Oryctolagus cuniculus: one gene and its partners. The protein of the gene in region 6 interacts with the protein of the main gene of each other region in a pairwise test. Links are inferred from orthologs where the notes say so. Each region holds a gene or a part of one and is shown on either strand. Other genes may lie near its edges.

The links.
Region 1: the proteins of CEP76 (region 6) and PARD6B interact in binary tests that used the Homo sapiens proteins (3 or more experiments, as listed by UniProt). The two-hybrid records come from large-scale screens. The link is inferred for Oryctolagus cuniculus from reciprocal best matches to the Homo sapiens genes CEP76 and PARD6B.
Region 2: the proteins of CEP76 (region 6) and DZIP1L interact in binary tests that used the Homo sapiens proteins (3 or more experiments, as listed by UniProt). The link is inferred for Oryctolagus cuniculus from reciprocal best matches to the Homo sapiens genes CEP76 and DZIP1L.
Region 3: the proteins of CEP76 (region 6) and C21H22orf39 interact in binary tests that used the Homo sapiens proteins (3 or more experiments, as listed by UniProt). The two-hybrid records come from large-scale screens. The link is inferred for Oryctolagus cuniculus from reciprocal best matches to the Homo sapiens genes CEP76 and C22orf39.
Region 4: the proteins of CEP76 (region 6) and THRA interact in binary tests that used the Homo sapiens proteins (3 or more experiments, as listed by UniProt). The two-hybrid records come from large-scale screens. The link is inferred for Oryctolagus cuniculus from reciprocal best matches to the Homo sapiens genes CEP76 and THRA.
Region 5: the proteins of CEP76 (region 6) and CABP5 interact in binary tests that used the Homo sapiens proteins (3 or more experiments, as listed by UniProt). The link is inferred for Oryctolagus cuniculus from reciprocal best matches to the Homo sapiens genes CEP76 and CABP5.
Region 7: the proteins of CEP76 (region 6) and TTC21A interact in a two-hybrid assay, tested with the Homo sapiens proteins (2 studies listed by BioGRID). The two-hybrid records come from large-scale screens. The link is inferred for Oryctolagus cuniculus from reciprocal best matches to the Homo sapiens genes CEP76 and TTC21A.

What each region holds. Positions count from the first base shown.
Region 1 is NC_091442.1:10,162,053-10,166,130, forward strand, and holds the start of PARD6B (partitioning defective 6 homolog beta), read right to left. Parts: upstream 2,801-4,078; 5' UTR 2,484-2,800; coding exon 2,418-2,483; intron 1-2,417. UniProt on the Homo sapiens protein: Adapter protein involved in asymmetrical cell division and cell polarization processes. Probably involved in formation of epithelial tight junctions.
Region 2 is NC_091435.1:143,615,615-143,619,114, reverse strand, and holds part of DZIP1L (cilium assembly protein DZIP1L), read right to left. Parts: intron 776-3,500; coding exon 642-775; intron 1-641. UniProt on the Homo sapiens protein: Involved in primary cilium formation. Probably acts as a transition zone protein required for localization of PKD1/PC1 and PKD2/PC2 to the ciliary membrane.
Region 3 is NC_091452.1:27,283,293-27,287,507, reverse strand, and holds the start of C21H22orf39 (synaptic plasticity regulator PANTS), read left to right. Parts: upstream 1-1,415; 5' UTR 1,416-1,579; coding exon 1,580-1,606; intron 1,607-1,722; coding exon 1,723-1,890; intron 1,891-3,871; coding exon 3,872-4,000; 3' UTR 4,001-4,215. UniProt on the Homo sapiens protein: Negatively regulates long-term potentiation and modulates adult synaptic plasticity. Stabilizes the interaction of RTN4 isoform A/Nogo-A with its receptors, inhibiting clustering of postsynaptic AMPA receptors at synaptic sites.
Region 4 is NC_091448.1:22,366,864-22,370,799, reverse strand, and holds the start of THRA (thyroid hormone receptor alpha), read left to right. Parts: upstream 1-1,136; 5' UTR 1,137-1,277; intron 1,278-3,936.
Region 5 is NC_091449.1:9,860,622-9,864,121, reverse strand, and holds part of CABP5 (calcium-binding protein 5), read right to left. Parts: intron 1,566-3,500; coding exon 1,456-1,565; intron 1-1,455. UniProt on the Homo sapiens protein: Inhibits calcium-dependent inactivation of L-type calcium channel and shifts voltage dependence of activation to more depolarized membrane potentials. Involved in the transmission of light signals.
Region 6 is NC_091441.1:69,554,529-69,558,028, reverse strand, and holds part of CEP76 (centrosomal protein of 76 kDa), read left to right. Parts: intron 1-522; coding exon 523-708; intron 709-2,228; coding exon 2,229-2,326; intron 2,327-3,500. UniProt on the Homo sapiens protein: Centrosomal protein involved in regulation of centriole duplication. Required to limit centriole duplication to once per cell cycle by preventing centriole reduplication.
Region 7 is NC_091441.1:108,219,845-108,223,344, forward strand, and holds part of TTC21A (tetratricopeptide repeat protein 21A), read right to left. Parts: intron 1,433-3,500; coding exon 1,335-1,432; intron 1,200-1,334; coding exon 999-1,199; intron 360-998; coding exon 230-359; intron 1-229. UniProt on the Homo sapiens protein: Intraflagellar transport (IFT)-associated protein required for spermatogenesis. Required for sperm flagellar formation and intraflagellar transport.

The DNA of each region.
Region 1 (4,078 bases), on a different chromosome or scaffold from region 6:
CTTCCTATCAGCCAGTCTATGATGTTATCAGAAGTCACAGTTTCTCCCCCATTCCCTGGCTGGCATCACAGCACAGGCGGCCGCTGCGTCCTGATTCGTCTCCGGGTTATCACTCAGCCTGACTCACCACCCGGAACGACAGCTGAGAGGTTAACGTTTCGGGGGCTTCACTGCTTCGGCTCGAGTGTGTGGATGAGAATTCTTTGCTCAACAACCTTTTTCTCTTGCTTAACTCATTTGATAAAAATAGTGGGAAACCCTATGGCTTCAAAGTCAGATATGCCCTCTGTAAATGCTGGCAGGGGAAACACACTAGAGAAACTGTCACGCTTCCTGCAGCAGAACAAGAGGGTAGAGAACTTTTTACCACACGAAGAGAGCTGCCAAGAGACAGACTCAAGACTCAAGCAACCATTCCCCACTCCAGGACCCATTCACAGCTTTGTTTAACCGGCCTGGTTCCTCCCAGCCATTCACAATGTGTCAGACTCCCGCCCCCCACTATCTGCTGGCACATTTTAGAAATGACAACTTAATTTTAATGTCCTATTCGCCTGTGAGTAATTAGGAACTGTTCCGGCTCCAAGACTGTCCCAAGGTTACTAAAGGGCACCTCCATCAGTACTGAGAACTTCCCCAACTCTAGAGAAACAATTAGGGAGATAAATCAGTTACCAAAGAAAAGCCACGTGGTTTCTGGTATCACGAATTCAACCAGCTTGTTGACACTGTCCACTATGTTGATTACCTGTAACCATTCTTCCCTTCCCAGGCCAAGGTAATCCGGCCGACACTACTGATGTCCAGGCAGGGGCCGAGGACCCTGAGACGGCTCCGCCTGCTCTCCAGTGCTGGCTCCAAGCCCGCAGCCACGGCTGCCCCAGGAGCCCAGAAAGCCGAAGCAGCACCAAAGCAAAATGTGCTTCAAAAATCTCCCGCAGCAGAGGTTTTTAAGAGGACAAACAGCTTATTCAACCCATTCAGAAGTAAACACATCAACAACAGACATCGAGAAGCAGGGGCACGGGTGGCCGGGGCCCTCACTGCTCTGCCCATCCTCGCGGGACCACAGTTCCCGGCGCCTGGTCTCAGGCCGCCCCGATTCCACCTCGTGGCCGGCGCAGGCCTCGGGACGCCGGCAGGCCAACACCTAACACCCGGTTTGGGCCTCAGGTATGTGGGAGATTCTCAAGTCAGCTGACAGGAGGCGGCGAGAGCCTGGCATGCCAGCCCGCGCCGGGAGGAAATGTTTGCTTTCTTTCAGCAGCGCACCTACTAGCTCCACTCATTTTTTCCCTGCCACTTGCTACCAAGGTCGGCCTGGAAGCGGAATTTTGAGTGATGCAATATCACAAGTGCCTTTTCTTGACCTCAACTCCCACAAACCCGAGATGTGAATCCCTGCCCTGCTCCGCCGGGGCCCACGGAGGCCGCGCCGCGATCACAACCGCACTCCCCCGACAGGACGGTGGCCGAGACCAGCAGCCACCCCGGCCCGGCCCAAACACCATCGTCCCGCCGCGTCCCGGCTGCAGAGCCGCGCAGAGCCGCGGGACGGGACCGCCGCGCGCCCCGGCCCCTTCCGTCAGGACCGCCGGGCGCCCCCCGGCCCCGCGCCCCCGGCCCCCTTCCATCGGGACCGCCGGGCGCCCCCCGACCCCGGCCCCTTCCGTCAGGACCGCCGGGCGCCCCCCGGCCCCGCGCCCCCGGCCCCCTTCCATCGGGACCGCCGGGCGCCCCCCGACCCCGGCCCCTTCCGTCAGGACCGCCGGGCGCCCCCCGGCCCCGCGCCCCCGGCCCGCTTCCATCGGGACCGCCGGGCGCCCCCCGGCCCCGTGCCCCCGGCCCCCTTCCGTCCACGCGGCTTCGCGACTGTGGAAGCCGATCCGCTGTTCTCCTCCAACGCGCTCCGGCCTCGCCGGGTCTCTCCGAGCCGCCGCGGCTGGCACGGCCCAGGGCCTGGATTATTCTCGCTCAGGAGCGCCGAGCCGCGGCAGGCGCAGCCCGCGGAGCCCACCTGCTCACCTGCCGCCCGCCTCCGGGACCGGGGCCTGCGAGACTCCCGGGCCGCCAGCAGGGCCCAGCTCGGAACCCGGGCAGCGGACGGCGGCGCGGAGACCCCAGCGCACGCGCTGCGGGTGCCGGTGCTGATCCGCAGACGAAACGCGCTCCAGGGCTCCCCAGGAATCCGCCCGGCCGGGAGCAAAGCAACCCAAAGGGCGCTCGCCCCCTCGAACCCGAACGGGGGGACCGGGCGCCTCCGGCCCTGCCCCGGACAGGGCGCCCCACGGCTCCCACCTCGGAAACCAGAAGCCGGCGCCCCCACCCCGCCCTCGCGGGCCCCCGAGGCTCGGCCCGCGGCCTCCCCCGGCGCCCGGCCTCCCGACCGCCGCTCCGCCCAGGCCGGCCCCGCGCACCTTGCTCTTCACCTCCATGGTGCCCAGGCAGCCGCTGCCCGCCCCGTGCCGGTGGCTGCGGTTCATGTCGAGCGCCGGGCCCCGCGGCGGCCTCGTCGGCACCGGCCGCCCCTCGGGCGCGCGGGGAGCGAGTGCGCGGCGGGGCGCGCGGGTTCGGAGGGCGGCCGCGGCCCGGGCGCTCCGCGCAGGCACCTGCAGAGGGGCGGGCTGCTCACGCGGCGGGACGGAGGGGCGCACTGGCGGCGCGGCGGGCGCGGACGCTGCTCCCTGCCTGCGGGCCCGCGGCGGCGGCGGCGGCGGAGGAGGAGAGGGCGGAGCGCAGGCTCCCAGCGCCGCAGCCTCGCTCTCGGCCACCTCCCCCGCGGGCCCGCGCGCGCGCGCCCGAGCCGGGCCAGAGCCGCGGCGCGTGCGCGCGCTCACCTGCAGCCTCCGGAGCAGCCTCGGCCGCTCGCGCTCCGCCCACACCCAATAGGAAGCGCGCACCTGCGCCCGCGGCGCCAACCAATCGAAACACGACTCGCGGGGCGCATGGGCGGGCCTCCCTCGACAAAGTCCCGCCCGCCGCCGCACGATTGGTCCCGCGCGGCGGGGGAGGGGCGGGATTACCTGAAGCCCGGGGCCGCCTCTCTGGACCCCGCCAGAGAGCTGGAGAGCGCATGCGCAGGAGCTCGAGTTTCCGCCCAGAGAAGGCCGGCCGGAAGCGCAAGCGCACCTGAGGAGGGAGTCCGGCGGGTGTGCCTTCTGCGCACGCGCGGGCGCGCGCCGCGGGACTTGGTGCCGCTTGGGCTGGCGCAGCTCGGCGCGCGCTGGTCACTCGCTCGGTGCGGGGGACTGGGCGCGCGGCCGTATCGGTGGCCGAGGCACCGAGTGGCTTGCTCGGCCCCCGCCCTGCTGTGACTTTGGGTTGTGTCGCCCTTCACAACGCCCCCTTCCCCACCCTTTCGTGTTTTTAGGGTCCCGCTGCAACTCTCGTGCGCAAAATTCAGGTTTTTCGCCTCTGCGCGCTTATCTGAGGGAGCGCCTCGGCTCCGTGGGCTGGGCTCTGCGGGAGGCGGCTGCAGCCCGCCCCCACCCGTCCGTCGGGTCCCCAGGGGTCGGTGGGGGGAGCGAGGGGGCCTGAGGCGCCGGGGGGGGGGTCCACGCAGGGTTTCCGGATCCCGCTTAGCCTGGGCCCTGGGGGGGCGCGGACGGGAGCCCCGGGCCCTGCCGCCCTGCGAAGGGGCTCCCTGCATGCCGTGGAGACCCCCTCCTGTGCGAGCAGATGCCTGGGGTGCTGCTGCTCCTGCGTCCTCGGGACCTCCGCCCCTAGACCCCAGCCCCCTCCCGGGCCCCGCCCCCTCCCGAGCCGCGCCCTGGCGGGTGCCCAGCTGACGGGGAGGTGTCTGCTGGCCAGCCGGGTCCAAAGGTGAGGAATTCCTCTCCCCGGAGCCGTGGGTCCGCCCGGGCGGAAGCGCAGGTGGAAACCGCCCCACGCTGAGCAGGGCCGCCCTCTTCACCCCGCGGGAAAACACCTGTGCCGCTCGGCGCCCGCGTGGCCAGGGGCAGCTGCAGGCGAAACTCGCCCTTCGCCTTCGTTCGGGGGCTCTGCTCTCGGCTTGTTTGGTCTCAAGAGCCCCCTAGACTACTGCAGAGGGGCCCAAAGCGTGTTCGTGTGTGTCAGG
Region 2 (3,500 bases), on a different chromosome or scaffold from region 6:
GTCCCAGGACGCCCCTGCATACAAGAGAAGGATTCACTCGAGGTTAGAAACACATTAGTCAAATCTGAACATGGGGCGGCAGTTAGAGTGAGCAGCGGCAGAAATCAAAGTTCAGTGAGCCCCATCCTGAATTACACCCAGATGTCTTGTTTCCCGTGCTTCCTCTCCACAGGGAGCAAGTTCAGTGATGTGATGTTTGGCTACTGGAACAAAGTGTATTTTTCCTGAATAGATTTCATGATGCCTTCAACGACCACGTGCACGCTCTGGTCAAATCCAAGCATAAAGGAACAACGCAGTCCAATCCTAACCGGAACCGGACTCGGCTTCCAGTTCCTGCCCACCCACAGGCACCTGCAGAGCAGGCACGGTCATCCATGCCTCAGGTGACCGACAGGAAGATGACACTTCTCACAAAGGGGCTCTGTCCATCAGCCAGACCGAGCCAATTAAAGCCCCTCTGCCAGGACCCAGAGGGAGAGGGTGTGCGGGGTTCCTTCCAGGACACCGAGCATCTGCAGTGGAACCAATGAGGTGGACGGGTTTACAAGGCAAAGAGGAGTCCATCGCTTCTAAGTTTGACAACACCTTGGGTCTAAACTACAGGGGTCGGCCCTTCAAACAGAGGCCCCTGAACCTACCCTCTTGATCCCCATGCTTTCCAGTTTCTCTTCCAGGGTGTCCTCCAGGATTGGCCTGAACTGCTTCAGCAAGGTGGGGTTCCGCCTCAGAGCCGCCAGCACCTTCCGCTGCTCCTCCCGGGGGTCCTCCGGTTCTGCAGCATGAGATCCCACTGCAGTGAGCTCGGGCACAGGAGCCCCATGCCCAGAGCCCCGTGCCCACCTGTGCTGTGCACCTGCGGGCCTCACTCACACCGCCCGTGGTCCCGCTCTCAGGCCTGTGAGCCCAGCACCCCTCCCGAGGGTGCTGCCCTGGATCAGAAGCTGGGGTGTCTCAGCTCCTGGACACCAGGAACTCAGAAGCCCCATGCCCCCTCTGCGTCCTCAGGCCCTGCCAGTGTGGACGCCTGAGATGGGAGTCAGCCCGGCCACAGCTTAACGTGGGGCTTTGGGGCTGGCACCTGAGCCCCAGCAGCTCTGTTCCCACAGCTCTGTTCCCCTTTATTCCAAGGCCCACTGCTGCCAGCTCCAGCCTCTGCCTAAGGCACCCAATGCCCTCACCCCACTGCCAAGCTGGGGGCTTAGAAGATAAATTAGCAGGCAAGACAGACAGATCTCTGCTGCCCCAAGCTTACCACCCGCACCAAGGGTTCTCCCTCCAAAAGTAGCAGACTCCAGAGTCCCCTGGGCATGCATTTTAAATGTGCGTGCTCTGGCCACCCTCCCCAGTGATGCCACAGACCTGGGGAAGAGCACTAAAACCCGCATCTGAACACACCCAGGAGATTCGGAGCGAGATGAGCCACAGACCACGCTTCGAGAAATACAGATCCGGCCGGCACCGCGGCTCAACAGGCTAATCCTCCGCCTTGTGGCGCCGGCACACCGGGTTCTAGTCCTGGTCGGGGAGCTGGATTCTGTCCCAGTTGCCCCCCTTCCAGGCCAGCTCTCTGCTATGGCCCGGGAGTGCAGTGGAGGATGGCCCAAGTGTTTGGGCCCTGCACCCCATGGGAGACCAGGAGAAGCACCTGGCTCCTGCCTTCGGATCAGCGCAGTGCACCGGCCGCAGCGGCCATTGGAGGTGAACCAATGGAAAAGGAAGACCTTTCTCTCTGTCTCTCTCTCTCTCTCACTGTCCACTCTGCCTGTCAAAAAAAAAAAAAAAAGAAAAGAAAAGAAAAAGAAAGAAAGAAAGAAATACAGATCCATGGGGCTGGGCTTGCGCCAGCAGTGGAAACACATCGAAGCACCAAGGTTCAATACCCGGCTCTGGCTCCCAACTCTAGCTTCCTGCTAGCGCAGGCCTCGGGGGCAGCCGTAATGGGCCCAGTAACTGGGTTACTGTCACTCTCATAGGAGACTGGCATTGAGTTCCCAGCTGTGACTTGGCCCATTGCCAACTATTGCAGGTATTTGGGGAGTGAACCAGCAAATAGGAGAGTTTCTCTCTCTCTCTCTCTCTCTCTCTCTCTCTCTCTCTCTCTCTCTTCCTCCCCACCTCCTTCAGCTTCCTCCTCTCTCTCTCTGCCTCTCAAATAAATATATTTTTAAAGAAATTTTTAAAAAAGAATCACTGATCCAGAAGGCAACAAAACAAGCAATGACCGTGACTGCTACAAAGGGGGTGGTCCAGGAAGAATCTGGAATGACTCCCGGGAGGGCTCCGCAGGTGTAGAATGGGGGCCCCTGGGGCTAGAGGGGCACCAAGCTGTCACTCAACAGACGTTTACAGAACAAGTGTGGGATGCTGGCAACTCTGGGAGGCTCTCTGGCCACCGGGCACTCACAGAGGAGTCTGGCGTCCAAAGCCTGGCTGCAGGCTTGCAGCACCTGCGCCCCTGCCCAGGCTGGTGACCTCCGAGTCCCTGAGGGTGGGCCCCAGCCCTTGATACTTTACTGTTTAAACTCCCCGTGTATTCTCACAAACAGCCATGCCTGAGAAGTAGCTGTTCCAGGGCTGAGGTCCTCAGGTAACAGCCACAGTGTCAGCATCTCCTGGTGACTTGAGAGCCCCATTCCAAGCCTTCTGAGTCACTAACTCCTAACTCAGCAGGTGGAGCCCAGCAAGCTTGCCCCAGGGCGACTGCCTCAACTTTGGCTGCACCCTGCTCTCTGGGGCAGGCAGCGTGGGGGAGGGGCCCTCCAGACAGTCAGCAGCTCCCTGGGTGATTCTCAATGTGCGCCCAGCAGTAGAGTCACTGGCCTTGTGGCGGCTGTCACTGAGCCGGCACTGAGGCATAGCGAGTAAAGCACTCCCTGCGACACCAGCATCCCATATGGGCGCCGGTTTGTGCATCTTGGCTGCTCCACTTCTGATCCAGCTCCCTGCTAACACACCTGAGAAAGCAGTGATCATCTCAAGTATTTGGGCCCCTGCCACCCACGGGGGAGACCTGGATGAAGCTCCGGGCTCCTGGTTTCGGCCTGGCCCAGCCCTGGTCATTGTGGCCATTTGGGGAGTGAATCAGTGGATAGAAGACCTCTCTCCCTCTCTGTCCCTCCCTCTTTCTCTGTAACGCTTTCAAGTAAATAAATAAATCTTTAAAAAATAATAGATACAGATGAAAATGTAGATGGTCACGGCCCAGAATCTCTGCTTGATTTTGTCCAGGGTGGGGCTGCACCTTTGCATTTCTAACCAGGTGCCGAGGGACGCTGCTGCCTGCTGGCCCAGGATGGGGCGAGGTGGACAAGTGTGGGAAGAGGCCCAGCCCAGGAGGATGAGCCAGTGAGACCCCCACCACGGCAATGGGGACCCCGCCGGGACCCCTCTGACCCAGGCCCCTCAGGCCCTTCCCCTCTAGAACCCTGCATCCCCGGTTTGAGGAGCTGGGTCTCACCCCACCTGAGGACCTCACGCAACACAGAGCTTCCCCAGAA
Region 3 (4,215 bases), on a different chromosome or scaffold from region 6:
GGTTGATCCAGGCCAGCCAGATGCCCTGGCTGGGGCTCCTGGCCACACTCGGGAGAGGGGAGGTGCCCTCTCCAGTGTCAGTCAGTGAGGAGCAGAGATGGTCGCGCTGCTTCAGGCTCTGCCCTCTGGTGCAGCTGCCACTTTGTCACTGACAGCGGCCATTGCTGATTCTGGAAGGCATGAAGGCCTGCAGTGACCTCAGGGTCCCTAGCAGAGGTGGAAGCCCTCCTTGGTGGGTGGGGCGGCCTCCAAGTGCAGGATTGCATTGGCTGGCAAGTGGCCATTTTGTGCATAATGAGTGGAGGTAGGCCGGGCCCTGGGTTTCTGTTTTCACCATGCCACCCCTGCTGTGTGCATGCAATGAAACCCTCCCTTTTCCTTCCCTGGAGGCACAGTCCCCTTCCTGGGCAGGGGGAGACCCCACTGTTGGGCCGTTTAGTTTTGGCCCTGGATGTTACTGCTGCAGCTTTCCTCTCTGTCCTCCCTGGCACTTGGACAGTGAGGTAGCACGTCAACAGCCAGTCTCGTGGTAAAACCACAGCTTCCGGGGACCAGCGCTCTGGCACAGTAAGTGAGCCCCTGGCTACCCCACTTCTGATCCAGCTCTCTGCTGATGGCCTGGGAAAGTGGTGGAAGATAGCCTAAGTGCTTGGGCCCCTGCACCTGCATGGGAGACACAGAAGCAGCTCCTGGCTCCTGGCTTAGGTTCAGCCCAGCTCTGGCCATTGTGGCATGAACCAGTGGATGGAACACCTTTCTCTACGTAACTCTACCTCTCAAATAAATACATCTTTAAAAAACAAACAAACAAAAAAACCCACAGCTTCCCGAGCCACCTTCCATGTTGCTCCTGGGGTTTCCCCAGCCAATGGTTCTGTTCACAGATGTGGGAGACCCACAGCACGGGTGTCCCGGGGAGCTTCTACACGCCCGGCCCCTTCTGTACTTGGCCTCATTGTCTCTGTGCTGATGGCCCACGCCCTCAGGAAAGCAACCCTGGCCACCCCAGCTGTGCCAGACAGCCAGCTCCGGCCAGCTCTGATGGCCCTTGGTCCCAGGACATGCGTCACGCCCAAACAGCCTCGGTCACTTTGCGAGCGCCACTCTACCCTGAGTGGACACCATGGCGACACCACTGCAGCTGAAGACCTAGGGGGTCAGCTGGCGCAGAGTTGAGCTGTATGTGTTTGCAGAAATAAATCGGATCTTTGAGGTCAAGGAAGATAACAAAGCTGCCAAAAAGATCTGGCCTGAACCATATCCTTGCAGCCAAATCAACGTGGCTTCGCTGCCCCCAACGCCCGCTGGTCACCAGGCAGGTGCCTGCTGCCCGCCTCGGGACACGCCCTCCCATCCGCCCCCTGTGGGGACCCGCCTCTTCGCACGGCCCCGCCCCCGGCTGTGATTGGCTGTTTAGTACAGGCGTGCTGATTATTGGTGCCTTTCAAGGAGGCGAGCGAGGAGTTCGTCGTCGTATCTTAGAGTTATTGGCTCTTCTGTCCATCCATCAGCCAGCGCCGGCTTTCTTCATGCCTCATTGGCTGACGGGTGAAAGCGGGGATTTGGTAGTGGCCCAGACATGGCTGACGGCGGCGGCGGCTGGCAGGTGAGTGTGGTGGGGGTGTCGGGGACGCGCGGAGAGCTCGGCGGTCCCGGCGGCCTCTCCCAGGGAAGGGCAGGGCGGGGCGGGGGAGTCGCTGAGGCCTGGCCTCTTCGCCGCAGCCGCCGCGCCCCTGTGAAGCCTACCGCGCCGAGTGGAAGCTGTGCCGCAGCGCCAGGCACTTCCTGCACCACTACTACGTCCATGGCGAGCGGCCGTCCTGCGAGCAGTGGCGGCGCGACCTGGCCCGCTGCCGCGACTGGGAGGAGCGCCGCAGCGCAGAGGCCCAGGTGTGCGGACGGGGCGGGCGCCGGGCGGCCGGCCTCCCTCACTCCCTCCCTCCCCGCCCCGGCCTTGCCTTCTTGTGAGAAATACCCCCAGAAAAGTAGTCCTCGGACGGCGTCGGAGACAGCGATGGGAGGACCGCGCGGTGTACCCCACCGCGTAACCCAGGCCCGGAGCGGGGAGGGAGCGGGCTGTAGAGGCGTGGGGTGAGGTTGCAAAGGCGCCAGGGACCTGGTGGGCTTAGGCGAAGAGTTCGGAAGTTTCTCTCCTCAAAGTGTGCTGCCATACGAGCCAGCTCCCACACGAGCACTGGCTCCAGCCACCTGCAGCGCCAGCTCCCATACGAGCACTAGGTCGAGCCACCTGCAGCGCCAGCTCCCATACGAGCACTAGGTCGAGTCGCTGCTCCACTTCCGGTCCAGCTCCCTGCTAATGTGCCTGGGAAAGCAGTGGAGGATGGCACAAATCTTTGGGCCCCTGAACCCATGTGAGAGACCTGGATGACACTCCTGGCTTTAGCCTGGCTCGGCTCTGGCCATTGTAGCCTGCTGGGGAGTGAACCAACGGATGGAAGCCCTCTCTTTCTCTAAGTCTGTAATCTGACTTTCATATAAGAGAATCCAGGAAGGGAAGAAGGGAGGGAGGAAGGAAAGAAAATGAAGACAGTCCCTAAGTGAAAGGAAACAAAACAAAAGAGGGAGAAAGCTTGTAGCCTGTATGGCAAGAGATGGATAACATGTGTGTATGTGTATTTGAAAGAGCACTTTTCTATCAGTAAGAAAACTGGGTGGATTTTGGAATTTAAGAAAAAAAATGAGCAAAAGAAACAAAGAAGCAATTCACTGAAAAAAGAAACCAAATGTAGGCAGGTAGGCTAGTTAAAATGACAGGGAGAGTGGCTTTTGGCCAGCATGAAGTCAGAAGTGTGGATAGGGTTTAGTTAGTCCTGGCTACTTGTATAGTGCTGGTGGGGGTGTATGGTGTTCTGATGGCCCAAATGTCAAAGGCGTAGTCTTAACTTCTGGGATTTTATCCTGGGAGAGGTAAGTGGATAACATTACAGTTAGGACATTACAATCTGCATTGTGCCACTGTTTTTGACAGTACAGGAACTGAAAGTGACCCAAATTCCACTGGCAGACGTTCGACCAGATAACTTTTCCACACAGTGGGGTAGAGTCATGTCCCTGGGCGTGGGCACGGAAAGGTGCCAGCACCACATTGTTCAGGGAGAAGAGCTGGAAGTGGACTACTCAGCAGAGGCGCACCCCACCTGGGGGGCACCAGCGAGAGCGCTACTTTCTGGGTGTTGGTGAAGCTCGCTGCTCACCGCCACGTCCAGGGTGGATGTCTGGGAATCTTTTGTGTCCTCCTTTACATTGTTTACCACTTTGTAAATGAGAACAACAACAACAAAAAACATTTCAAACAATAGAGCTTGAATGCAGACAGACAGGTGGATAGGTGTACTCGTGTGTGTGATGAGGCCTGCCGGGCACCTGCCACCCACCCACCAGGGGCCCACAGTGGCAAGAGTCAGCCCGGCCATGACGCCCTCCCGCTGCGTGTGTGCTGGGCGACCACTGCCCAGGGAAGCTGCCGGGTTGCACAGCCCCGTGTCTGTGGTCGGGACTCCCCCTGGTCTTGTGCTTCATCTTCCTCCCTTCTGACCACACTTCCCCCTGCAGTGCCCCCGGCCCTCAGCCCAGGTGAACCTGCCCCAGACTTGACCAAGGCAACTGAAGCCACTGAGTCCTGAGACCCAGATGTTTTAAAATCCCTCATGTGTGTGAACATGGAGCACTTGCTAGACTATATTAGATGCAAGAGGCTGGCCGAGCAGCAGAGTGCTGGGTCCCATATGCCCCCACTTGTCCATCAGTGCTCAGAAAGGTGCTGAGAAGACGGGAGGCACAGGGGCCATGGGAGGGTGCTTGCGGACCATGAGGCCACGTGCGGGGACGTGACCAGGGTGTCTTTTTACAGCGATCCCTCTGTGAGAGTGAGCGGGCGCGGGTCCAGGCCGCACAGAAGCACGCCCTGGTGTGGACTCCGAGGCAGAGCCCTCCTGCAGACTGGCACCTCCCTCTGCCACAGGAGGAGAAGGACGAGTGACGGGCACCCCTCCACCCTCGGCTGGTGTGGCTTCATTGGATCTGTGACCAACCCCGTCTAGTGGGTCCTGCCTCCTCCCTCCCGGCTCGAGACACAGAGTGGGACGCAGGCAGCCCGACCTGTCCACTCTTCACTGCCTCAGCGCTCCCGCCACTGCAATGCTCTGAAAGTCAAGTGCACCCACCCCACAGCTTCCAGGAAGCCAAGCACTGTGG
Region 4 (3,936 bases), on a different chromosome or scaffold from region 6:
AACTGGGCTAATGACAGCGGTGTGGGGGGGAACCGGTGGGGCAAGAGGGGGTGCTGGGGTAATTAGACCTCTGCCTGGCACTAGGAGATCCTGAGATGAAAGGGGCTCTGGCGTCACTTGCATGGTTTTATGTCCATGCGTGCAGGTGTGTGTGTGTGTGTGTGTGCATGCGCACACGTACGCATGCATGCAGGGGGATGGGGCTGGTAGGAGACCATCCCTCTTTTGGGGAAGGGGGTCCATTTGGGTGTAGCCCACCCTCCTCCTCAGAGTGGCCTTGGTACCCTTGGATTTAGGTGAGGCAAGCATGGGAGGAAACACAGCTCTTGTGGGGCTGGCAGTGGAGAGGGTACAGCCAATCTCGCCCCCTCCCCGGGCTCAGCAGGGAGAGCAGACTGTTGGGGAAATGGCTGGTGTCAGTGAATAAAAGAGCCGACGTGGAGAAGGGTGGCGTTTGGAAGAGGAGGCAGTGGATCGGGTTTGGCTGTTAGGAATGAGAGGGGTAAGGGGGAATGTGCTCCCCCAGAGGATTAAAAACGGCGTGACTGAAAGTAAAAGGACCTGCGGGAGCACCTGCCCAGCCCTTGCAATTGGAGCTTGAGGAAGCTCTGGCCGGGCAGGCTGCGGGGATTTCCTCAAGGTCACGCAGGGAGTTACCGGCGGAGAAGGGACCCGAACTCCCAAACAAACTCCACTCGACCGAGCACTTGGCAGGCAGACTCTCCGCCCCGTTAACGCGGTGCAGGTGGCTCGTCCACGCTCCCTCCTCCTGCCCACGGTGCAAACCTCGAAAACCCCCCAATCCTCCCGGCAGGCAAAGGCTATTTTTTTTTTTAAGTGACAGCTTTTCCAAATATGTCACCAAGTACAGCTCCCGCCGGAGCCGCTTGCCGGAGTCCGAGCGGGGCGGGGGCAGAGGCGGCCGAGGGGCTGCCGGGCCGCTGGCCGTGGTCCCGGGGCGCGGCGTGGGGCGGGGGGCGGGCGCCGGCGGCGGCGAGGCGGCCTGCAGGGAGCAGCCGTGAGCCGGCCGGGCGCGCCGAGCCCGAGCCCCAGCCGGAGCGGGGCGGGGGAGGGAGGAGCCAGAGCGGCCGCCGCCTCTGCCGGAGGAGCCGCGGGGCCGCCACACTCGCCCCCCGCCCCCCCGCGCTCACTCGCACTCACACCCGGGCGCTGGAGGCGGGCGGCCCGGGCCCCACCGGCCCCCCATGGACGCCCCCGGCACGGGGCGCTGAGACCCCCGCGCCGCTGCCCAGCCCGGTCCAGCGCGCCACGCCGAGGTAAGGAGGAGGGAGCGAGGGGGCATTAATATGCAAATGCCTCGCGATTGATTATGCAAAGCCGCGGGTCCCTACGGCCGGCTCCTGGGCGGGCTGGGGGCGCCCAGGGGGTGCCCGCTGCCAGCCTCAGCCTTCCGCGGCGCCCAGGTGACCCTGTCACAGACCGGGAGCTTGCAACTGACGCCCCAGGGAAGGGAGGTGTTGCTGGGAGGTCGGTGGGCCCTGGGGTTCGCTGGCGGAGATGGCGTCTGGGCCTCCCCCTCGAGGGCCCGCCCGGCCTCAGTCCGGCCGGTCTGCTGCGCGTTCCCAGGCCGGGCCCCGCTGCCGGCCGCCCGAGCTCCCCCGCCCGCCGCGCCGCGGTTTGTTTACGGTGCTCCGGAGGCCTGCCCCCCCCAGCCCCCACCCCAGCCTCGGAGGCCGAGCGGCTGCGGAGGGCAGTGGGAGTGCAGTGGGGAGGGGTGGGCTTGCACCGGCAAGGGGAGAGAGAGACAGAAGTCCCTCCTCCCCTCACCCTCTCCCCAATTAAGCATGGCTCTCTGGTTGCAACACTCCTAATTGCAAAAACGCGGCTGGGGGGGTGGGGGTGGGGAGTGGGGGTTTGGGGGCGCAGTGGGGGCCCGTGCTGGCTGGCGGGGCTGAGAAAGAGAGGGAGAAACGGATCTCTGTTGTGCACCCCCCCTTGTCTCCCTCCCCTTGCAACGTGTCTCTGGTGCCCCTTCTCGGTCTAGGGCCCTCCCTTGTCCAGTGTGAAAGAAAGGCCTGGGGGTGGGGGGATGGCGGAGGCAACGGGGAGAGAGCTGCCGGCTGGGTGGGGGGTTGGGGGGATAGAAACAGAAGGAAAGCCAGTGAGATGGGAGCCTGCCCCTCCATGCTGGCTCCGGCCCCAGAAGGGGGAGGGGATGAAGGGGGCTGTTGTCCAAGATGAGGGGAGAAGCAAAGGTGACATACAGACACAGAGATATGCCCACACAGAACAGCCACATGCACACCCAGGGACACCCAGGCGGACTCAAGGACAGGAGCTGCTGGACACACCCACATGGGACAAGGAAAGAGGCAGGCTGCCGCTGCACTGTGGGAGCCCAGAGGGGCAGAACACACCCACGGGAGACCAGCAGCAGGCAGACGGACCCATGCACATGCCCACACGCAGGGTAACACAGAGATGCTGTCACCCACATGGGCGAGGGGGAGTTGCTGTCACCCACACAGAAAAAGTCACTATGGCATGCATGCATGCACACGGAGCAATTGCACACAGCCACACCGTTACAAAAGACCCTGTCACTCACAGGCACACACGTGCTTGCATGAGCACAGTCACGCAGGCATCATCCCCTGGCGTGACAGTCACTGTCACTCTGTCAAATGCAAGCACAGTTACACATCAACACATGTGTACACAACTTAGCAACAAGTATTTTCTTGGATTCTTACAGTGGAACTCGGAGGTTCTGTCGACAGCAAAACCGCTGCTCCTGAGTAAATGGAATGTGTGTGTGTGAAGAGATTTTTCATGCATCACGATACAAAGCATGCATTCCTGATAGCGCACTCGCTCTTGGTCATTCTGGCTTGTCAAATCACCCTACTGGGAAGCCGACTCCTTAAGACCTGGGAGAATCGCTTAGACAGCTCTGGATCCCACCCAGAGACTAGCATAGGGGCTGCTCTGTAAATACTTGTTCATTGATTGACTGTGGGCAGTGCGGACACAGGTGCACTCGTTGGCACGCAAGCCCATGGACTCAGGTGCACCGCACATTCACAAGGCTCGGGCCATGCTGTCACAGGTCCACGTGGACAGTGTGTCAGACAGCCCCAGGTGCACACTTGCTGCCAGCGCAGTCGGGCACACCTCCATGCCTCGGTGACAGCCTCCCTCCAAGCTTCCTCCTGTCTCCTTCTGGCATCAGCCCTTTGTGAGAGTGGGCGCTTTTTTTTCTTTTGGAGGGACAAGAGAAACAAGAGCAAAGACAGGGGGTGTAGGGGGGTTTCAGAGGGCCGAGTCATGGGCCTGAAGCAGTGTCCAGTGACTTCTAGCAGCTGGGATTGTCCTGGCTGCAGGGGTGGGGGTGGGGGCGTTGTATGGGGGAGAGCTGGCTTCCAGGGAGCGGCTCTCACCCGTCCCCTGAAAGCTAACAGGGGACTCCCACTGCCCTGCTGAGGATGATTTTCCTGGGGACAACTGAGTCCCTGCCTCCCACCGTGCGTCTGGCCCCTTTTCCCACCTTGGCCTTTCTGTCCAGACTTGGACGCTTTCCTTAGGAGGCCGAGTGCTGGCGAGTGTCTGCGTGAGTGATGTGTATTTTTGACTTGGAATTTCTCTCTAACTCTGTCTCTCTTTCTGTTGCTGTGTCCCGTGGTGTCTAATTCTCCCTCTCTCCTTGTTCCCCTGCCAGTCTGTTACTCCCTCTTGCCCCAGCGCTCCCCTGTCCACCCCTGTCCTTGTCTCTGTCTGCCACTGCCCCTTCCCTGGGAGCTGGGAACTGGCAGGGATGGTCTTCATACTTTTCCAGTTGTTAATACTCAAACTCCGGCCCTCTGCCCCGGCCCGCCCCGCCTCTGGGGTCAGCGGGAGGTTGGGGTGGGGGGCGGGGGGCTCAGCTGGCTGCTCAGGACATCCTGTGTTTCCTTAGTGCTGCCGCTGCACAGCCCA
Region 5 (3,500 bases), on a different chromosome or scaffold from region 6:
CCAAAGGCCCGCTCTCAGATTAGCTTCTCATAATTGATTTTATTTTACCCAATGTAGCCAAATGTATCATTTCAGAATGCAATGAATTTAAAAATAATTAATGACTTATTTATTTATTATGCACACTGGATTTCATAACCCTTAGCACAGTAAGCAGTTCCCATGTACTTAGCCTACTTAGCTCTCACACGTAGCAAGGAAACACACTTAAGTTGACAAATACACTTATGCTAAGTGGACTAAATCTTAGTCCAGCACTTGTCAATGTGGACACTAAATTTTGATCAGAAATGCTTGATCCGATGAGCCAGCACCAAGGAACAAAGGGTTAAACCCGCTGCCTGTGATGCCAGCATTCCATAGGAGCATCAGTTCGAGTCCTGGCTGCTCCACTTCCGATCCAGCTCCCTGCTATGACCTGGGAAAGCAGCCGAGGATGGCCCAAGTGCTCGGGCCCCTGCACCCACGTGGGAGACCCGGATGGAGTTCCAGGCTCCTGCTTTTGGCCTGGCCCAGTCCTGGTTATTGTGGCTCTTTGGCAAGTGGACCAGCGGATGGAAGATCTCTGTCTCTCCCTCTGCCTCTGTAACTCTGCCTTTCAAATAAACAAATGAATAATTTTTATAAAAGAAATGCTTGATCTGAATTTCAACTGAAATTCCCAGTTGAAAGGGTGGATTCGAATACCCGAGTTGTCTCAAATGAAAGTTTCCTACAAATCGAATCAACCATTCATTTGCATTTGAACACTTGGACAGAGGAGTGTGGTCAGCGGGATATTCATGGAAATTAAACAAGTAACTGAAATCCACTGAAACGAGTTACAGCCGCGTCTGCGGGGCTCAGTGGCCACGCGCGGCCGGCCGTGGCTGCTGTCGTGGACCCAGCATTTCCCAGGTCACAGAAAGTGCTGCAGGGTGGCGCGGCTGTGGATCTGCACGCCCAGGGCGGACCTCTCCCAGGGTCTCAGCCTACGTGTGCCCGGCTCCAGAGACCTCGCGCCCAAGCTGGGTTCTGTTCTGTATTTTGGCTCTGGCCGGGGGCAGGACTTGGTCAGGGATCGAGGCAACCCCCCTCCCTACCCAGCTCCTGCTGTCAGCATCCCTATGGCAAGAGGCTCCAACGAGGCGGTCTCCTTCGAGTTCCCTCCAGGGACCCTCATATGCTTGGACTTGCCCTCCTATCAGGAGCACTCACATTAGACACCCGGCCACCCGCTTTGGAGGACGCAGGGACTCGGGGAAGCCCTGGAACCCCTGAGGCCTCAGTTTCCCTCACTGGCATGGCAGGGAGACGTGACCGTGAACTCCTACCGTTACTGGTGAGGGTTCAGTCAGACAGAACACGCAGCTGTTGGAGTGTCTGGAGGATGTTACTGCCTTCCCCACCGATCCCGCCACAGCTGGAAAGCAAGTCCTGTCCATGGGAATGGCCGACGGCGGGATCTCTGCTCACCTCCTTGAAGGCGTCTCGCATCTCCTGGACGCCAATCATCCCGGCGGTCTCTGCAAGCAATTTGGGGGTCATCAGCTCCACGAAGTCCTCAAAGTCTACACGGCCGCCCACTGGGGACAGAGGAGGTGGGGTCAGTGGTGCTTAATACGCCCCGCCCACTGTGGATGGAGCAGGTGGAGTCAGTGACGCTTCCCACGCCCCGCCCACTGTGGGGGAGAGAGGAGATGGGGTCAGTGACCCTTCCCATCCCCGCCCACTGGGAACGGAGGAGGTGGGGTCAGTGACACATGCCCCCTCCCTCCAATGCCTCAGTTCCAGAAATCTATTGGTCTCCATTGCCCTGCTTTTAACCTTTGACCCCCTTCTACTTAGCCAACTCATGCCCTCCTGTGCCTTTAATCTGAGCCAGTGGGGACCTGATGTGCTATGCAGGAAGTAGCTGGCTCTCTTTAAAGAAGTATTTTTATTTGAACGGGAAAGGGAGACAGCATGGAACAGAGTGAGAACAAGTGAGCGAGCCAGCGACTGACCTACTACCCATCCGTACACTGGTTTTCTCCCCAAAGGCCCACACCAGCTGGGGTTGGGCCAGGCCAGAAATGGGAGGTGGGAACGCAAAGCGGTGTCCCACGTGGGAGACAGAGACCCGGCTTCCTGGGCTTTCATCGCCACCTCCCCGGGCATTGACTGGAGGCTGCAGGCGGGAGCAGAGGTGGGGCTTGAGCCCCGGCGCTCCAGTATGGAATGCGGACACCGCAAGCCACGTCTCAGCCGCCACACAAAGCCCCTATCCAACCAAGCTCTCACTGGCTGAGAGTCACACTCAGTTAAAGGAGCACTGGAAGGCCAGCGCTGCGGCTCACTAGGCTAATCTTCTGCCTTGCGGTGCTGGCACCCCGGGTTCTAGTCCCTGTTGGGGCGCCGGATTCTGTCCTGGTTGCCCCTCTTCCAGGCCAGCTCTCTGCTATGGCCCGGGAGTGCAGTGGAGGATGGCCCAAGTACTTGGGTCCTGCACCCCATGGGAGACCAGGATAAGCACCTGGCTCCTGCCTTCAGATCAGCACGGTGTGCCGGCTGCAGCGGCCATTGGAGGGTGAACCAACGGCAAAAAGTAAGACCTTTCTCTCTGTCTCTCTCACTGTCCACTCTGCCTGTCAAAAATAAAACAAATAAAATAAAAAAAAAGGAGCACTGGAGGCTCTCCCAGACACGGGCACAGTCGTCCCTCGGTGTCTGTCTTGGGGTGTGGTGGTTCCAAGACTTCTCCGCAGATACCCAAATCCGCACCTGCTGAGGTCCCTGGTGTGCCGTGCTGTGGTATCTGCGGAACCCACGTGTGCCCTCCCAAGCCTTAGGTCACCCCCAGACCTCTCACAGCCCCTTAGCTGAGCAGTGTTGCTGTGTTGTGTTGTTTAGAGAACAGTAGGAAAACAGATCCTGCACATCAAAAGCCACTTTGCTTCCGAACGTTTCCCACCCGCGGCTGGCTGACTCCACGGGTGCGAGACCCGCAGACGCGGTCGCCTTGAACTCAACCTTGGTCCCTCAGTTACGAGGAGTCCAACCCCAGTCGTATGCCAGCTTTGTCCTCGCTCTGCTCTCCATCTACAAACCACCCTTTCTGCAACGCTGTTCACCAGCAGCAAGTCCAGTGCCAAGCTTCCTTCTAACGCCCACTACAGCTCCAGTCTTGTGCTCCCCGGACGAACCCTTGCAGTGCTAGGATAACCGGCATTTGATCAGAACCTACTGGCGGCTGAGCCTTCGCCTGCGTTAGCGACGTTGGCCCTTCCTCTCCACTTTCCCACGAGCCAGGGAGGGAGCATGTTCACCCTGCTGCCTCCACGTGACTCGCCATGGCCACGCGGAGTAACTAACAGAAGGCGGACTTGAACCCAGACTTACCTCTGAAAGTCACCCCTTGAGCTACTTCCTATGCTGCCTGCTGTTTCCCCAAGTGTACAAGAACTGTCTCTTCCAGCCTTGGGGTCTTTCTCCCCTTGTATCTCCAACTCTGCGTCAGCCTCCATACCCTCCCCCAGCCT
Region 6 (3,500 bases):
CAGGCAGCTTGACCACTGTACTATAATGCCCGCCCCTCATAAATTTTGACATTACAAAAGTAAGTTACATATTCACATCTAAACTTCGACTTTCAGGGGCAGGAATTTAGCCTGGTAGTTAAAATGCCAGTTGGGAAGCCCACATACCATATCAGAATGCCTGGGTTTGTGTCCTGGCTCCACTCTCGAGCCTAGCTTCCTGCTAATACACCCCCCTGAGAGAAAGCAGACAGTGGCTCAAGAAGTTGGGTTCCTGGGGCTTATTAATCTATTTATCAAAAAGCACTGATATGGTTTAAGTAACTAGATTACTTGACAATTCCGCCAGTTTTCTCAGAAGCTAGTGATGGAACTAGGAGTGTACTTGTATTCCCAGGCTTGTGATATGCTTTCTGAGATATTACCAAATTAATTCTATTTAGTTTCATATATGTTTATTATTTAGTATATTTTTCAATAAAAGTAGTTTTATGTTGGCCTAACAATATGTAATATGATGTAACCTTCTGTTTATATTGTCAGGTGATGGAACTAGAATGGCTGATTCAACAACAATGTTGTCAATAAGTGATCCCATCCATATGGTGCTAATCAAAACAGACATATTTGGTGAGACCACTTTAGTAGCATCCTATTTTCTGGAATGGCGATCGGTTTTGGGCTCAGAAAATGGAGTGACCAATCTAACGGTGGAACTAATGGGTGTAGGTATGATGATTAGTATCACTGTTATCTTTATATTCATAATTTCTTCCAAAATTCATTTTCTATCTTTAAAATGGCTCTTAGACCAAGAGGAAAACCTATAAAACAGAATTTCACTGGAATTACAGTTGGTTTTCAGTCCAGTTGTAGTCTTGGGGAAGGTCTCAAAGAATAATATTAGTGTAGCACCTCACAGCCAGAGTAGCCTTAAAGGGAAAAGGTTTTTTTCTTTTTCAGGAAAGTCAATATAAAATTTTGAGAGTTTAAATTTTTTTCAAGTGCATTTTATTAAATAGAAAATGATAAATAAGATTTTTTGATACACACACATTACACATGCACCTAAAAAACTTCCTCATTCCAGCTTGCCCTGGAATTCAAATGCATCTCCATGAGTACTGATAGTTCTTGCAGAATGTAGAATAGATGTTCTCTAGTGAGGCTTGGAAGAGATGGCATCTTACTCAATGTCAGTATTAATGAATTACATTCTTTGAAAAGAAAGATTACATCTATTTTATTTACCACTGTCATCTTAGAATCTTTCAAACTTCCTGCTGTATTTTTGCTAATAAAATTAAAAAGCAAAATTTACTAATATTTAATGCCTAACATACAGTGGAATTTCTTTAATATTGAAACCTAGTCACAGAGTTAATTCTGGCCAGTGTACAGCATAGCCTTAGTTATTTAAATTTTATTATGTAAGTCCTGGAAAGTGGTTTTCCTTAAATAAAAAGAAGAGAAAAAAGTTTATTTATGTTTAGGATATTTGCTTTCAAAAAGATATTTGTTTGTTTCTAAAAATGGGCCTAACATGAGAATCACAGCAATGACTCAGAAATAAACTTGTACTGATTCACTAAAAAATAATAGTCTGGGATGAGGTATATTTTCTGGACCCTTTAAGTCCAGGTGTATATTGAAAATTTGTACTTACATGTGAATATAAGGGAAGGAGTAAATGGGGGTGAACGGGAGCTACCATGTGAAGGCTCCTAAAAGGTTTATGGAAAATGCATGTTAGGAACTATGCATGGATTTCACTTTTGTTTTGGCACCAAAATAAACTTATCTTTTAATTTCATTTTTCCATGAGTTTTTTGAAGTATCCTCATGTCAGACAGAGGATACTTTGTTGTTTTTGTCCCCAGAGAAGATGGGATGAGGTGTTAGCAGTTGCTTTTATTTTGTATTTAATGTAAATCTGGTGATATTATGCATTTATGGACGTTAAAAATTAAGAATTTCATATCCTTTAGGTCAGAAAATTTCCTTAAAATGTTTATTAGAAATCCTAAGAACATAATTAATTTCATTATAACTAGATGAAACTTTGTACAAAATAAAAACTAATTTGACATTATTTTTTAATATGACTATTAAAGGGAATGTTGAATTTTATTTTTATCCATATAAATAGTAAATCACCAAATTCCAAATTATTTTAATTATGCTTTCCTTGACTAAAATATACATAGTATTAAACTTCTGAAGTTCTAAATATTTATTTATATTTATAGGCACAGAATCAAAAGTTTCTGTGGGAATTTTAAATATAAAACTTGAAATGTACCCACCACTCAATCAAACCTTATCTCAAGAAGTAGTGAACACACAGGTAAATAATCCTGAGTTTTCCTTCTTTGTGTATTTGTTCTCATAGAAGTAGTTTTACCTGTTGATCCTAGAAATACTCTCAGGAAATTAACCAGATTACTTTTTAGAATAGCACTCAAAGATTGATGAAAGGAGTGAGAAAGAAAATTTTAAAGACAATTATTTTTCTAGGGTTGTCTGCTCTAGTTTGGGAAGCACAATGAGCATTTACTGAACACAAGAACTACAACATTAGAATTATAAAGCTGGCGGGGATAGAGCAGTATGGGGACAGCATCAGTGGAGGGGGTTGACCTCAGGTTGTTTTTACTCTGTATTCTCAGCATTTGACACTTCTGGAATGTTTATAGAGGCTTTCTTTCCTAATTCCCCTGTCTCTGAAGAATTACTTTCTTCCTGGGTCTTGTAAGATCAGCAGGTCTTTTCATCTCTGTTTAATTCTGGCCATTCTGTAGTTAGCAGGTTACAATTACTAGCTGCTTTGTTGGGATGGAATGATTCTCCTGAATTAGAAACTTTGGTCCTGACACTGTATCTTCACTCCATTCTGCCTCATAGTGTTTTTTTTTTTTTTTTTTTATGGTCCTGTAGTTACTTAGTGTTAGACTGCTAGTGCTTCTTCCCAAGGCAAGCAATATCCTGTCCTATTTTCCTGAAACTTCCTTTCTTCCTGTTACAAATTGTTCCTTTAATCTCTTGCCATCTGAACTGTGGGTGACATACATGTGTTATTTTTAGAAAGTTGGTGGAAAAATGGAATTAATTAAGTTGAAATTCATGTATAATTTTTTAATAATATGCATTTTTCATGATCTTGTTGAAGACCCTCATATGCATGGATTTCAGAATTTTTTGCACCCAAATAAACTTATCCTTTAACCCCATTTTCTACTAACTTTGAAGTATCCTTGCACATTTGAAACCATATATGAGAAACTTTGATATTACTCAAGTAGATAATCAAATCCATATGTGTACATGCATATACGTGTATGAATTTTAATCATGTTACTTATATAATACCTAAATTTTAAACATTTGGGTTCTTTTTTTGATGTAACTATTTTATTGACAAATGAGTTCTTAAGCTTAAAATTGTTTTTTAAACATTTTCTCGTGTTTCTTCTGTGATCCACTGAAGTATAAGTTTGTTGTAGTTCTGATATATAAAGTTT
Region 7 (3,500 bases), about 39 Mb from region 6:
AAGATCCCTGGGGGACTGGAAGCTGGAAGGAGCAGGCAGGCCTGGTAAGAGGCCCATTGTGTCTCTGTGCAGTCTGTGTTTAAAATATCCCAGACAGGAAGCCTGTGGACACATCTTGTGGACAATGATTTGGGGATGAGCGAACAGAAATCCCAGCAGGTGCCTGAGCAGACGAACAGGGCTGTGAGAAGACACAACCCTGCCTGGTCTCCAGGATCCACTGGCTTACCTGAGAGATACTTGATCTGAGCCATCACATACATGGAGTCGAGCAGAGCTGGTGCTGCCTTGACCACAGGAGTCAAGATCACGGTGACTTGGTTGAGAAGTGGAGCCACGATCTGGCCGGGTGCCCGGGGCTGCGGGAGCACAGGGGACCTGCTGTGTGGTCTGCTGCTCTAAGAGACACTCACGAGGCAGGGCTCCTGCTTTATCCCACACTAGTTTATGACCCGCTCTTCCTAGAGCCTGAGCTCCAGAGAATGGGGACCCTGTTCTGCTCACTCTCGTCTCCCTGGTACCCAGGGTGATGTCTGGCACAGGGTACAGCACCCAGCAGATACCTGAACGACGCGCTGTGAGGCGTGGAGGGGCTACCAAGACACATGAAAATACAGTCCTTGTCCACAAGGGACCTTAACTGGCCTAGAAAGTGGCACGAGCAAGTCAAGATGAACACATACCTTAGAAGGCTCTGGAAAAATGGGGAGCCAAGTTCTAATCCAGGGTAAAGGCAGGGTAGAGGCCAACACCCTCCTCCTCCAAGGGTGCTCCCTGGGCCAGCAGCATCAGCATCGCCTGGGAGCTGGTCAGGGCTGCGAGGCTCTCACAGTCAGCAGTTGCACTGGGACAACCACCTCCCAGCTGATCTGTGCGCCACACGTTCAAGTTTGAAGAGTACTGGTTTCCCCCACCCCAGCCCCACTCCAGCCTGGGGACTGTGCCCTATCCAAACCTGCACCTCAAAGCCCTGCCGTGAAGATGGACCCTTCCCTAACCTGCTTAGGGCAGAAGAGCAAGTACTCTTTCGCCACGCAGACCAGGAAGGGCGGGTCCAGCTTTTCAAAGTACTCGCAGCCCATGGGGAGGCCTCGCATGCCGCAGAAGTGGAGCTCCACGGCCTCCTGGAGCAGCGCCGTGACCTCCTGTTCCCCCTTGCTCTTCCTGGAGGCCAGAAGAGCCTGGAGGAAAACCAGCACCTGCAGAAGCGAGGCCCGAGTCTCAGGGGCAAAGTGGAGGCGCAGGCCACCTCGGCTGTTCCCTGCTGGAAGAGGGCAGTGGGAAGAGGGCAGGGGACACGACCCGGAGCCCTCCACGCCCCCGGGAGTGCTGACCTTCGACTTCCCTAGGGACTGCTGCACCTCCTTCAGGAATTCCAGCTGGTGCCCCGCCTCTTCCAGGTGGCCCTCCAAGATCTGGCACCAGATGATCCCTGTGAATGGACAGAACGAGGCTGAGCAGCCCACAGGGTCAAGGACACGGGTGAGACAGAGGAAGGAAGGTGTCCCAGGGCAGATCTCTCCCAGCGTCTTCTCAAAGTGTGAAACACCCGCAAAGGAAAGAATTCAAATCATACGGGCAAATGTAGAAAAGCAACTCCAGCTCATCCTCTGGCTTAACAATTCTGTCTCTACAGGTGACCACCAGTAAGCATGTGGGGGCTATTCCTTCCAACACTGTTTTAAGTATATGTTATTAATGTACGTACACACACAGATGAGCCTACCAATGGTTTCAAGACGTGCATACACATGGCAATCAAAGTGCATATATACCACCTTACAACTTTATATATGATGGACTTGTTTTCCCATCACTTCATACAAGCCTACCCCATTCTCTTTACTGACAATACACACAATATTCTGTGGATATAACCATTTAACAATTGCATATTTAGCTTGTTTACAGTGTTTTTGTATTACGATGCCATGGTGAGTATTTTCCTATGTTCTAATTCCTGAACTAGAGCTGACGAGTCAAGAGGCATGCATATTTAATATGCATACAGATGGGCAGACAAGGGTTTATCCTAACAGCTGAGACATACATGTCCCATGCTGGAGTACCTGGGTTTAATACCCAGCTTCTAGCTAACACAGACCCTAGGAGGCAGCTGTGATGGCTCAATTGGATTCCTGACATCCATGTGGAAGACTTGGGTTGAGTTCCTGCACCCCAGCTTCATGCCCAGCCTGGTCCTTGTTCCACCCTGACCATTGTGGGCACCTGGGAGTAAAGTAGGACATAGGAACTCTGTCTATCCGCCTCTCAAAAAACTCATTTAATTAATCACCAACAGATAAGGCCAACTTGCTCTCTGGAGTTATCTGAATTTACATTATTGCCAAGAATTTTAAGTGTCCTTTCCCAACAAATTCACAGGCTGATCTTTGCCAATTTAGAAACAGAAAAGGAACCAGTTTCAATCCACATCTTTATTAGGGAGAATACTAATCTTTTCACAGACTTTCCTTTTTTGCTGTGAGTTGCCTGTTCATAGCCTACTTGTTTTTATTTTCGGGTGCTGTTTTTGTCTGACCTACTAAGATGAACCAGTGTTGCATTTTCTACATGCTTCCCACCTATATTTTAACTATGTTTTTACCTTGTCTATCACCATCTAGTATTTATGCAAATAGATAGAATAGTTGCCTCTACAACTTCTGAGCCTGTAATCAGGTTTAAAAATCCTAATTTTATGTTCAAATACTTAATGCACCTGGAATTTGAATATGGTGTGAGGTAGGGAATTGCATGCGCATATATACGTATGCATTTTTTATTTTACGATGGAAAGCCAGGTGTTCAAGCAGGAGTCACTGAACAACCTACTGGTTTGCAACCAGGACTTCCATGTCTCGTTGTCTGTTTATTCCACAGGCGCCGGCCTCGGGCTGACTTACTCTCTGTGGTTTTGTGATACGCTTTGATGCTGAGAGTACCACTCTCGGTTCCTCTTACTCGTTTCACAGATAATTTCCCGGGTGTTCGGGAGCACTCACGCCTCCTCACTGTTGTCCTCATCGCCACCTTGGTGAGTGAGTTACTTCCTGGCCACTATTTGGCCTGCCCACGGGCTTCTACACTCGGTAATGACGTTTTCCATGTTCAGCAACGCTCTTTTGTTCTCTGTGCCTCTTTCATAGCAGTCTGTTCTCAACTTGACATAAAAGCTTGGCCAAACACACTGCAGGTGTTTTGGAGGAGAAAAGTCTTTTCTGCACCCAGCCTCACCTCTGCTGCTCCAAGGGCCACTGCTCTGCATGGTCCACTCGGCCCCTCTTCCAGGCTGCTGGCAGATTTACAAATAAAGGACTAGACCGCTGAGCGCTAGTTGCCAGGCGGATTTCCCAAACTGTTAGGGTCACTAGTTTTCCCACAGCGAGCAGATAGGATGGTGACTCCAGGCACACGAGTGGGTAGGGCTTGGGCTGGGGTGAGTGACACAGGTTTTCTGGCCACTGCACTTCCCTCTGGCTGACTGCTGGGGCTCTCCC